3 linked regions of the Saccharomyces cerevisiae S288C genome follow. The gene in region 1 interacts genetically with each later gene. Each region holds a gene or a part of one and is shown in the gene's direction. Other genes may lie near its edges.

Evidence for each region.
Region 2: mutations in RAD27 (region 1) and HST3 together harm fitness more than expected from each alone (negative genetic interaction), as found in Saccharomyces cerevisiae (6 studies listed by BioGRID, with this or other methods).
Region 3: mutations in RAD27 (region 1) and SIS2 are lethal when combined (synthetic lethality), as found in Saccharomyces cerevisiae (6 studies listed by BioGRID, with this or other methods).

The regions. Positions count from the first base shown.
Region 1 is NC_001143.9:224,240-227,995, reverse strand, and holds RAD27 (multifunctional nuclease RAD27), read left to right. Parts: upstream 1-2,120; coding exon 2,121-3,269; downstream 3,270-3,756. Other genes in the region: DNA-binding protein ABF1, read right to left, coding at 1-1,426; DNA-(apurinic or apyrimidinic site) lyase APN1, read left to right, coding at 3,541-3,756. UniProt on the Saccharomyces cerevisiae protein: Structure-specific nuclease with 5'-flap endonuclease and 5'-3' exonuclease activities involved in DNA replication and repair.
Region 2 is NC_001147.6:376,197-379,952, forward strand, and holds HST3 (NAD-dependent histone deacetylase HST3), read left to right. Parts: upstream 1-2,022; coding exon 2,023-3,366; downstream 3,367-3,756. Other genes in the region: AHC1 (Ahc1p), read right to left, coding at 1-1,516; BUB3 (Bub3p), read left to right, coding at 3,585-3,756. UniProt on the Saccharomyces cerevisiae protein: NAD-dependent histone deacetylase, which contributes together with HST4 to histone H3 'Lys-56' deacetylation, regulation of telomeric silencing, proper cell cycle progression, DNA damage control, DNA recombination, and genomic maintenance.
Region 3 is NC_001143.9:576,163-579,918, reverse strand, and holds SIS2 (phosphopantothenoylcysteine decarboxylase complex subunit SIS2), read left to right. Parts: upstream 1-1,795; coding exon 1,796-3,484; downstream 3,485-3,756. Other genes in the region: YKR075C (uncharacterized protein), read left to right, coding at 1-92; AIM29 (Aim29p), read right to left, coding at 243-710; YKR073C (uncharacterized protein), read left to right, coding at 1,412-1,732. UniProt on the Saccharomyces cerevisiae protein: Component of the phosphopantothenoylcysteine decarboxylase (PPCDC) involved in the coenzyme A synthesis. Acts as an inhibitory subunit of protein phosphatase PPZ1, which is involved in many cellular processes such as G1-S transition or salt tolerance.

The DNA.
Region 1 (3,756 bases):
TTTCCTGATGTTTGGCGTAGTCGATAGAGTTACTTCTCAAGTTCGTGCCAGAAAGCTCACCATCGTTGTTATTGTTGTTATTGGAAGATGAAGAAGGTTGTAAATCATTATACTCGCCCATTTTTTTCTTTTTCAAAACAAATCTTGCTTTATACGTCGTTATACGTCTGGCTATTTGGGAAAGTAACCTTTTTTCGAAATCTTCGGCGGTTAATCCATATCTTTGCATTAAAATGTCTAAAAGACCGGACTCCTCCACGTAATGAGAAACTTTAAATTTACTCACTGTATGGTTAGAATTATTGTAAGAGCTTTCTAGTATTTGATCAAACTTTAAATCGTTTTGTAAAATCTTTGGAATCTTAGTTAGGATAAATTTACCCAGTGACAAGTTATCTTCTAGTGGGTGACTATGATAGGGCTCAATTTTGGTAACGACAAATGGGCCCGGTATATCATCGGTAGCAGAATTGAAGACGTCTAAATTCATAGACGTGTCTCGTATGGAGGATGGTGAGTGGGAGGAAATGCCGTGGCTACCGACATTGTTGTTATTGATATTGCTGTTATTGTTGTGATCGTTATTAGTATTATTATCTTGGCCATCATTGTTGTTAGTGGCATCATCGTCTTTTCCATCGTGCTTATTGTTTGATTGAGAATCTACATTTGCGACGGCATTGGCAATGGCAACGTTGATGTCTTCATCGTTCACTACGTCAGAATAGTTTTTCGTCATTTGGGTATGGACGTCATCCTCCTCGTTGTGACGGTGGTTACCGCTGTCATTACCATGAGTAGGACCGCTCTCGTCGTCCAATCCCCGGTCAATAGAGGCCTTATTTATCGAATCATCTTCAGTGTCGTTCTTGATAGTAACACCTTGCTGTTTAAAAATGTTGTTGGCATCAGCATCATCGTCATTGTTCCCATTCACCTCATTGCTTCTCGACTCCACTTTGTCATTGGTGTCGTCCGGATGAGTGTTCGCCAGATGGTATTCAAGATCATCAGTAACGAAGTCAAGTTTACTGTCATTGCTAACCTTATTATTACTGCCATTGTTATTATCATTGTCCTCGTTGTTCATGTTGTTGCTATGATGATGAATATGATCAGGAGTACCCGGAGGGTTGGTATTATTATTTGCAGAAGGAGATGAGGTTTCTGAGGATGCAGCATTGCCAGCATAGCTTAGCAAGACTTTAAATGGACAGTTTTTCAAATGACAGGCAAATGTAAAATGTTTGTTCCTATGCGAATTCTTTAAAATAATAGGGCAACGCGTCTGAAATTCGTACTCATTAATTACATCATACCAAGCACCCAAGGTGGGAAATTTTTTGCCTCCATGGGCTCCAATGGCCAGGTCTTTATTAATTATAGGGTGCTTGTATTCATAATAATTCACGACTAATTTGTCCATCCTTGTGAAATTGCAAATATGGTGATTTGAAACGTTTCCTAGTGCAGCAGGATCACAGATAACGTGTAAAGGGCTTAGCAGTTGATAATCCTCTCTAGTTGAGATCTAAACAAAATGCTGTCACTAACCGTAGTATTAAATGACACACTTTGGTGACTTTCGTTAATGGGGATGTGGTAGTGGCCATTGCCAATAAACAAAAAGAACAGGGAAAGAAGTAGAAAGTGATATAAGTTTGCTTGCCACTTTTCGTTTTTCACGAAAAAAACAGGCGAAAAAAAATGCTAGACTAGTACCCGGCTGAATCACACCTCGTTAACAGTGACTTTCGGTGACAGATACCCGATTGGGCACCCGGCTGGTAAGTTATGATAGAAAGCCAACGCTGTACTATTGGCTTAGCTATGGCAATATTTTGATTATCAACTAGTTTTATTAACGTTATAATTAGTGTAACCAGTTTTTCATCTATTTCATTTATTTCATTTATTTACTTTAATTGCAGATCCCCCTAACGCGTTTAAAGCTTTTATTCACTAGCTTATGTATTTTTTATAGGAAACGCGACGCGTAACATCGCGCAAATGAAGGTTTTGATGTATTATAATGAGGTATTCTTCCTTATATACATCGATGAAAAGCGTTGACAGCATACATTGGAAAGAAATAGGAAACGGACACCGGAAGAAAAAATATGGGTATTAAAGGTTTGAATGCAATTATATCGGAACATGTTCCCTCTGCTATCAGGAAAAGCGATATCAAGAGCTTTTTTGGCAGAAAGGTTGCCATCGATGCCTCTATGTCTCTATATCAGTTTTTAATTGCTGTAAGACAGCAAGACGGTGGGCAGTTGACCAATGAAGCCGGTGAAACAACGTCACACTTGATGGGTATGTTTTATAGGACACTGAGAATGATTGATAACGGTATCAAGCCTTGTTATGTCTTCGACGGCAAACCTCCAGATTTGAAATCTCATGAGTTGACAAAGCGGTCTTCAAGAAGGGTGGAAACAGAAAAAAAACTGGCAGAGGCAACAACAGAATTGGAAAAGATGAAGCAAGAAAGAAGATTGGTGAAGGTCTCAAAAGAGCATAATGAAGAAGCCCAAAAATTACTAGGACTAATGGGAATCCCATATATAATAGCGCCAACGGAAGCTGAGGCTCAATGTGCTGAGTTGGCAAAGAAGGGAAAGGTGTATGCCGCAGCAAGTGAAGATATGGACACACTCTGTTATAGAACACCCTTCTTGTTGAGACATTTGACTTTTTCAGAGGCCAAGAAGGAACCGATTCACGAAATAGATACTGAATTAGTTTTGAGAGGACTCGACTTGACAATAGAGCAGTTTGTTGATCTTTGCATAATGCTTGGTTGTGACTACTGTGAAAGCATCAGAGGTGTTGGTCCAGTGACAGCCTTAAAATTGATAAAAACGCATGGATCCATCGAAAAAATCGTGGAGTTTATTGAATCTGGGGAGTCAAACAACACTAAATGGAAAATCCCAGAAGACTGGCCTTACAAACAAGCAAGAATGCTGTTTCTTGACCCTGAAGTTATAGATGGTAACGAAATAAACTTGAAATGGTCGCCACCAAAGGAGAAGGAACTTATCGAGTATTTATGTGATGATAAGAAATTCAGTGAAGAAAGAGTTAAATCTGGTATATCAAGATTGAAAAAAGGCTTGAAATCTGGCATTCAGGGTAGGTTAGATGGGTTCTTCCAAGTGGTGCCTAAGACAAAGGAACAGCTGGCTGCTGCGGCGAAAAGAGCACAAGAAAATAAAAAATTGAACAAAAATAAGAATAAAGTCACAAAGGGAAGAAGATGAGGGGGTTCTTTTTCCACTTTCTTCTTTTGGTCCTTCACCTTGGCATATATGTAACATAGATATTTGTATACACGAACTTTTTTCATCTAATACTTCTCTTTTTTTGCCAGTTTTTCTGGGAACTTGAACGTGGAATTTTTCATTCTTACCTGGTTTCTTTTTCTTCATTTCTTTACATGTTGGAAATCATTGTAAATATAAGATGACAAACTCCGAATAAGAAACACAAAACGCAACATTAATAAGCTTTTGGCATATCGGAACCATCGTAATGCCTTCGACACCTAGCTTTGTTAGATCTGCTGTCTCGAAATACAAATTTGGTGCGCACATGTCAGGTGCCGGTGGAATTTCTAATAGTGTAACTAATGCATTTAACACTGGCTGTAATTCGTTTGCCATGTTTTTAAAATCTCCAAGAAAGTGGGTTTCTCCGCAGTATACACAGGAGGAAATAGATAAATTTAAGAAAAACTGTGCAACTTAC
Region 2 (3,756 bases), on another chromosome or scaffold:
AGCTCAGTTTTCTCTTACGCAGCAATTTTCTTTGTAAGGAGGAGGATAGCACTGGCGGAGAGGGTGGGTCCGTAGTCGTTGTTGTTGTAGCCGTTGCTGAGAGAGACGGTGATGGGACGTAAGAAGCTTCGTCATCAGATTTGGAAGATTCCTCTTCTTGCTCCTTTTGATATCTTAATTGAATTTCACGTTGCTTCAAATATTCATTCAAATCATCCGGAGTTTCATTAACCATGTCAATCAGTTTTTTGAAGTCTTCTTTATTTTGGTATAGTTTTTCTAAATGAGGAGTGTTCTTGACAGTCTTTGGAGCCCGCGTATGGTTCTCGGAGTGGTTGATTGGTGATTGTGGTTTTGGGATTGCAATGTCAGAGGGTAGGTAGTCTTTGTTTGGGTCCAAATTTAGTTTCTTGAACTTAGATAAAATTTCCGGATCCTGCTTATCATTAGGAAGTAGTTTTTGGTTGTTTAAAACTGCCAATGGTTGGCTTGAATATAGTTTAGAATGTTTTAGTCGAGTATGGTTCACGATACCTTGCGCGGAAGTGAAACCGGAACGGTCACATTTGGAGCACGTAATTATAACCAAAATGCCGTCATATCTTCTAAAAATGGGCTCATTATTTTCAGTCTTACCGATGATACCGCTATTGCTCGTCAAACAAGTGCTACTGTAATTACGTCTGTGGTTAAGATGCATCTGACTTGGTTTAAAAGGGAGTATCTGGAACCCCGGCTGCTCGTCTAAGGGGGAGATTGAGGAGGAACGAGGTGAAGAAATGCCATCCGAATTAGAGTGAGGAAGCGAGACGGGAGTGGGCTTGGTTATGGCTTCTGATAGAGATTTAGAACCTGTTAGCCTGTAATCAATTATATTCGAATTTGCCGGACGGAGGGCAGAAGGTTCTAGCAAAAGCCCGTTACTCTTGCTTCTAGTATGATAATGGTGGTGTGGTATGCGTGTTGTTGACAGATTTCTGTTGCTGCTCGAAGACAAAGGCTGACAGTTGATGTTATAATCCGATAGAACCGGGTATGACAGGTTATAATTTGATGCGTTCGTATTTTCCGTAGCCGTACTGTCGTGAAAGTGGCCGCCGAGCACGCTATGCTGCTGATGTTGTTTTATTTTGAGTTGATACGTCCGTTCGATTTTGTTCAATAGACCAGTATCCTTATGCAGGGTTTCCAAGAGAGCTAGTTTTGCGTTAACCTTTTGAACATTTCTTCGTAAGTGCCTAACATGCTTGTGGTTTAGCATTATATGTAGGTTCAAAACATTCTGTATTTCCCCTTTGGCACATTCGTACTTCAACCGCTGGGTATTTTCGCTATCCTTGTCCGGATTACTGGTGGCGGTGTCCATTTTGAAGGGCTCATCCATGTTGTTTTCCAAATCCTGAGGAGACTTTGGCGTGGTAACCTGATAAACGTTCGTCATCTTAGAGGATGACGATGAGGAAGAATTAGGATTATGATGCTGGTGCTGCAGTTTATCTTGGGCGGGACTCATCATGAGGAGATGGACATATACACAAAGTGTTGGATGAGAAGCGTGAGCCCGAAGAGTAGTGAAATGCCGAAGATCAGGGTGTTTATATGAACGAACACTAGCTTACAAATGTGGAAACGGGATCCTTCAGAGGTAAAATGCGCCTTCAGTGGCCAAAGTTCATCACCTTCCTTAGCACGGGTTCTTGCTGTCTGCTCTTCCTGCTTCTTCCCTGTTCGTTTTTCCCTCTTCCTACGGCTATGCACAGTGGCAAATGCACTGCATGTGTTTCTGTGGCGGGTATCCCTCAATTGCGGGTAACAATAAGTAACTCAACATCACGAACGACGTTTATGTTTGCTGTTACCACAAAGGGTAAAACGTCAATAAAAGCAAGCAATGTTATTCGTGCCAGAGAACTATATCTGGCGTACGTCTTATATATAACACAAGCAAGGGCAAATACGTGGTTAGTGGTGTAAAAACTGAAGGGATTAATTTACATACAACTAGATCCATCTTTCTCAAAAATGACTTCAGTATCGCCCTCGCCACCTGCCAGTCGATCGGGCTCAATGTGCTCCGACTTACCGTCCTCTTTGCAGACTGAGAAACTGGCACATATTATAGGTCTTGATGCCGACGATGAAGTTCTCCGGCGCGTAACCAAGCAGTTGAGCAGATCTAGGAGAATTGCTTGTCTGACTGGGGCAGGCATTTCGTGCAACGCGGGCATTCCTGACTTTCGCTCTTCTGATGGGCTCTACGACCTAGTGAAAAAGGATTGTTCACAGTATTGGTCTATCAAGTCCGGCAGGGAAATGTTTGATATTTCGCTATTTAGAGATGACTTCAAAATATCCATTTTTGCTAAATTTATGGAGAGGCTCTATTCAAATGTTCAATTGGCAAAGCCGACTAAGACGCACAAGTTCATTGCGCATCTAAAAGATAGGAACAAACTGCTGCGCTGTTACACGCAAAACATCGATGGGCTCGAAGAAAGCATAGGACTTACTTTATCAAATAGGAAATTACCGCTTACCTCATTTAGTTCACATTGGAAAAATCTGGATGTCGTTCAGTTGCACGGCGACCTGAAAACTCTTTCGTGTACAAAGTGCTTCCAGACTTTTCCCTGGAGCAGGTACTGGTCTCGTTGTCTAAGAAGAGGTGAGTTACCATTGTGTCCGGATTGCGAAGCACTTATCAACAAGAGATTGAATGAAGGAAAGCGAACTCTTGGTTCTAATGTGGGTATTCTAAGACCTAATATCGTCCTGTATGGTGAAAACCATCCATCCTGTGAAATTATTACGCAAGGCCTAAATCTTGACATAATTAAAGGCAATCCTGATTTTTTGATCATCATGGGTACAAGTTTGAAAGTTGATGGTGTGAAACAACTGGTAAAAAAATTAAGTAAGAAAATTCACGATCGTGGCGGCCTGATCATTCTCGTAAACAAGACACCCATTGGCGAATCCTCTTGGCACGGCATTATAGACTACCAAATCCACTCAGATTGTGATAATTGGGTCACATTTCTTGAATCCCAAATACCAGATTTCTTCAAGACGCAAGATCAAATTAAGAAGTTAAGACAGTTAAAAAGGGAGGCGAGCGACTTGAGAAAGCAAATGAAGGCCCAAAAAGACTCAATCGGAACCCCCCCAACAACCCCTCTACGAACTGCCCAGGGGATTGATATTCAAGGAAACAACGAATTGAATACAAAAATAAAGTCGTTAAACACAGTTAAGAGAAAAATACTGTCACCAGAAAACTCCAGTGAGGAAGACGAAGAGGAAAACTTGGATACAAGAAAACGCGCTAAGATACGACCAACTTTCGGTGACAACCAAGCCTCATAAACTTAACTATTAAAATTGAGTTAACGATAAATAATCGAGGCAGACACCCCTTTGCATAATATATCATCCGTTTAATTTATCTTCCATTTATATACTCATACATATACCAACGGAGATCTGCATGTCCGAGAATACAAAAAATAGTGAACGAAAAAAATATCACATCGCGAAAGAAAAGCTATCTGATATCTGCAACACGAAAACACAACAGTCGCGGCATGCAGATAGTACAAATTGAGCAGGCCCCAAAAGACTACATAAGCGACATCAAAATAATCCCTTCCAAGTCACTGCTTTTGATTACGTCTTGGGATGGCTCTTTAACAGTCTACAAATTCGACATTCAAGCAAAGAATGTTGACCTTTTACAATCGCTACGATATAAACATC
Region 3 (3,756 bases), 350 kb from region 1:
AAACAATAAAAGAAGCTCATTATGAGTTCAGCAACTATACATTTGGCACTATGGAAGAAGACATTTTTTATAGGAACCAGGTTGTTTTTTAAAGGAGAGTTTGCTCTCTTCTGCATTTCCACATACACATTTGATGTTAATTTACATACGAGTATACTCTCGTACACAACATATATATATATATATATGTAATATATTCATAGCACTTACTTATTAATGAAGGCCATAAGCCAAACAACATCTCACCATTTTTCTTCAGGGTTTTCTTTAAACCTTAGGTAATCCTCTTTGTTGAAAAGCGAAATTTCGGTTTCATTCTCAATGCCATACTCGAACAGCTTTTTTTTGTCATTCTCTATGTCTAAAGTCCAGTCGTCATCGTGGTCAAAATTGATCACGAGATTAACCGTCTTGGAACCATGTGCGTGCGTGTATATCTTTAAAGTATCAAACTTAACATTACGGAATGGTCTGAATGAACCTTCATTTTGAATTTTGTTCAAAACGTCATTGAACAGGTCCTTTGCAGTTTTATCAGCAAGATCGTAATCGTGCAGCACTATGTTCTTGACGTTTCTATATGGGAAAGATTTTATTACTCGGATTGTAATAACGGAGTTCTTTAGTGGTCTGGCATTTGAGGTTAATGGCTCTTCCAAGTCATAATCATGAAAGGTTGTTGACATTTTCAGCCTTTTAGTTGAATTCATGAAATAATGCAACCAAACAAGAAAAAATTTGGGGGAGGTAGTCTACGCATTTCAGTTCTAACTTCCTTCCTTTTCTTTCACTATTAATTGAAACTTATTTTCATTTTTTTTCTTTAGCATTGAACGCCGAATCTAAAAAAGTAAAGAACTCCTCATAGGGGGCTCGAACCCCTGACATTTCGGTATCCTTGCTTAAGCAAATGCGCTTAAAAGCCGAACGCTCTACCAACTGAGCTAACAAGGATGAGTTCTTCGGAGGGCTAACTCATATAAATAACTAATAAAGGCGAAATAGTGGTCACCACCATCACACTACACCCATATCAACGACAAGAGTTTAATTTGACCGTGGAAATTTATTACTGCTGATTTGGGTTCTATGATAAATCCTCGTAACGTAGAGACTATGTTTTTATATGCGCATTAAGTGCCGGAAAACGTGAGAAATAGGCTTTCCGGAGCATCAAACCTGAGGTTTCATAAATTGTGTTCGTGAAGGATGCATTCCAGAGGGCCATCCATCCAGCATAAAAAGAGATCTACAAAGCAATTATGTGGTTTCGCCATTATCCGTAGGATGACCTAAAAAATGGTAATGATTCACGTGATCTAGAAACTTTAACGTGTTATATCATTCAAGGCGTAACTTATACGCGCGGGGTACCCTATCATATCTAACACACGTACCCTGGGTTAATGCCATGATCGTCTTTGATGTATCTCTAATGATCATTATTATTTTTTCTTTTGCTTTTAACATGAGTCAAAGCAATATTCTTATGTTATATAACTCACCCCATGTGCTCGTGGGCAGTGACGCACGCAACTTTTTCTCTTGCAAAAAATGGCATCGATGCTTTTCTGGGGAGGTGATATTAGAGGAGAAGAAGTCACAGAGTGCTCTTGGATCACGATCCCTCACTTGTACTTGTCCACTTATCAGCGCCGTCCAGTTACATTTGGAGAGATCTTTTTTTAGCCTGGCCTTCTTTGCTGTCATACTACTTTATATTCCGGGATAAAATATAAAGAAATATTAGTTAGGAAAAAATTAATAGGGAAGAAAGATCTAGAAGCAAACAGCAATGACTGCCGTCGCCTCTACTAGCGGGAAGCAAGATGCTGACCATAACCAGTCTATAGAGTGTCCAAGGTTTTCGCGTGGACAGAAAGAGATTTTGTTGGACCATGAGGATGCGAAGGGGAAGGATTCAATAATCAACTCCCCCGTGTCAGGGAGGCAATCAATAAGCCCTACTTTGTCGAATGCTACTACCACGACTACGAAATCTATTATGAATGCCACCGGCACCTCCGGCGCAGTAGTAAGTAATACTCCGGAGCCTGGTTTGAAGAGAGTCCCCGCCGTCACTTTCAGTGATCTAAAGCAACAGCAAAAGCAGGATAGTCTGACTCAGCTGAAGAACGACTCAGAAAGGACCAAGTCTCCAAATAGTAATCCTGCTCCTGTCTCAAATTCCATTCCTGGCAATCATGCAGTTATACCGAACCACACCAACACTTCAAGAACAACGCAATTATCTGGGTCTCCACTCGTCAACGAAATGAAAGATTATGATCCTAAGAAAAAAGACAGTGCTCTTAAAATAGTTGATACCATGAAGCCTGACAAAATCATGGCCACTTCAACGCCAATAAGTAGAGAAAATAATAAGGTAACCGCCAAAGCCCCCACCAGTATTACACTTCGAAAGGAAGATGCACAAGATCAAGCTAACAATGTTTCAGGCCAAATTAATGTGCGTTCTACCCCGGAAGAAACGCCAGTGAAGCAGTCCGTCATTCCTTCCATCATCCCCAAAAGAGAGAACTCCAAGAATTTGGATCCCAGACTACCTCAAGATGATGGAAAATTGCACGTGTTGTTTGGCGCTACAGGTTCGTTATCGGTATTTAAGATCAAGCCAATGATTAAAAAACTAGAAGAAATATATGGACGTGATAGAATAAGCATTCAAGTTATCCTCACTCAATCAGCAACACAGTTTTTCGAACAAAGATATACCAAGAAAATTATCAAATCTTCAGAAAAACTAAATAAAATGTCGCAGTACGAATCCACTCCGGCAACTCCAGTGACACCAACACCAGGACAATGCAACATGGCTCAAGTAGTCGAGTTACCCCCACATATTCAACTATGGACCGACCAAGATGAATGGGACGCATGGAAACAACGAACTGATCCTGTACTTCATATAGAACTACGTCGCTGGGCGGATATACTGGTAGTAGCTCCATTAACTGCAAACACATTATCAAAAATTGCTTTGGGCCTGTGCGACAATCTTCTGACAAGTGTCATTAGAGCTTGGAATCCGAGTTATCCCATTCTTTTGGCACCTTCTATGGTGAGTAGCACTTTTAATTCTATGATGACAAAGAAGCAACTACAAACGATAAAGGAGGAAATGTCCTGGGTCACTGTTTTCAAGCCGTCTGAGAAAGTTATGGATATAAATGGTGATATTGGTCTCGGGGGTATGATGGACTGGAATGAGATTGTTAACAAAATCGTTATGAAATTGGGTGGGTACCCAAAAAATAACGAGGAAGAGGACGATGATGAGGATGAGGAAGAAGACGACGACGAAGAAGAAGATACAGAAGATAAGAACGAAAACAACAACGATGATGATGACGATGACGACGATGACGACGACGACGACGACGACGACGACGACGACGACGACGATGATGACGAGGACGAGGACGAAGCAGAAACCCCAGGTATAATAGATAAGCATCAATAAATAGTCTATGAATTACAAATACACTAAACACATTCTACTTATTTGTGTTTTGTAATTTCTGGAAAAATACTCATTAGGCAAATTCACGCAGCATATTTACAAAATGTCACAAATTTTTTTCCTTTTTTACTTGCAGTAGGTATGTAATGCCATACTAGCGTACATAGAGCTCTTCATATAAACCGCTATTTATTACTAATTTTAATAATTCAGTAATTCATTAAATACATTCATTACTTTCTGGGTAAATATCTATTCGTTTCTCATTTTTC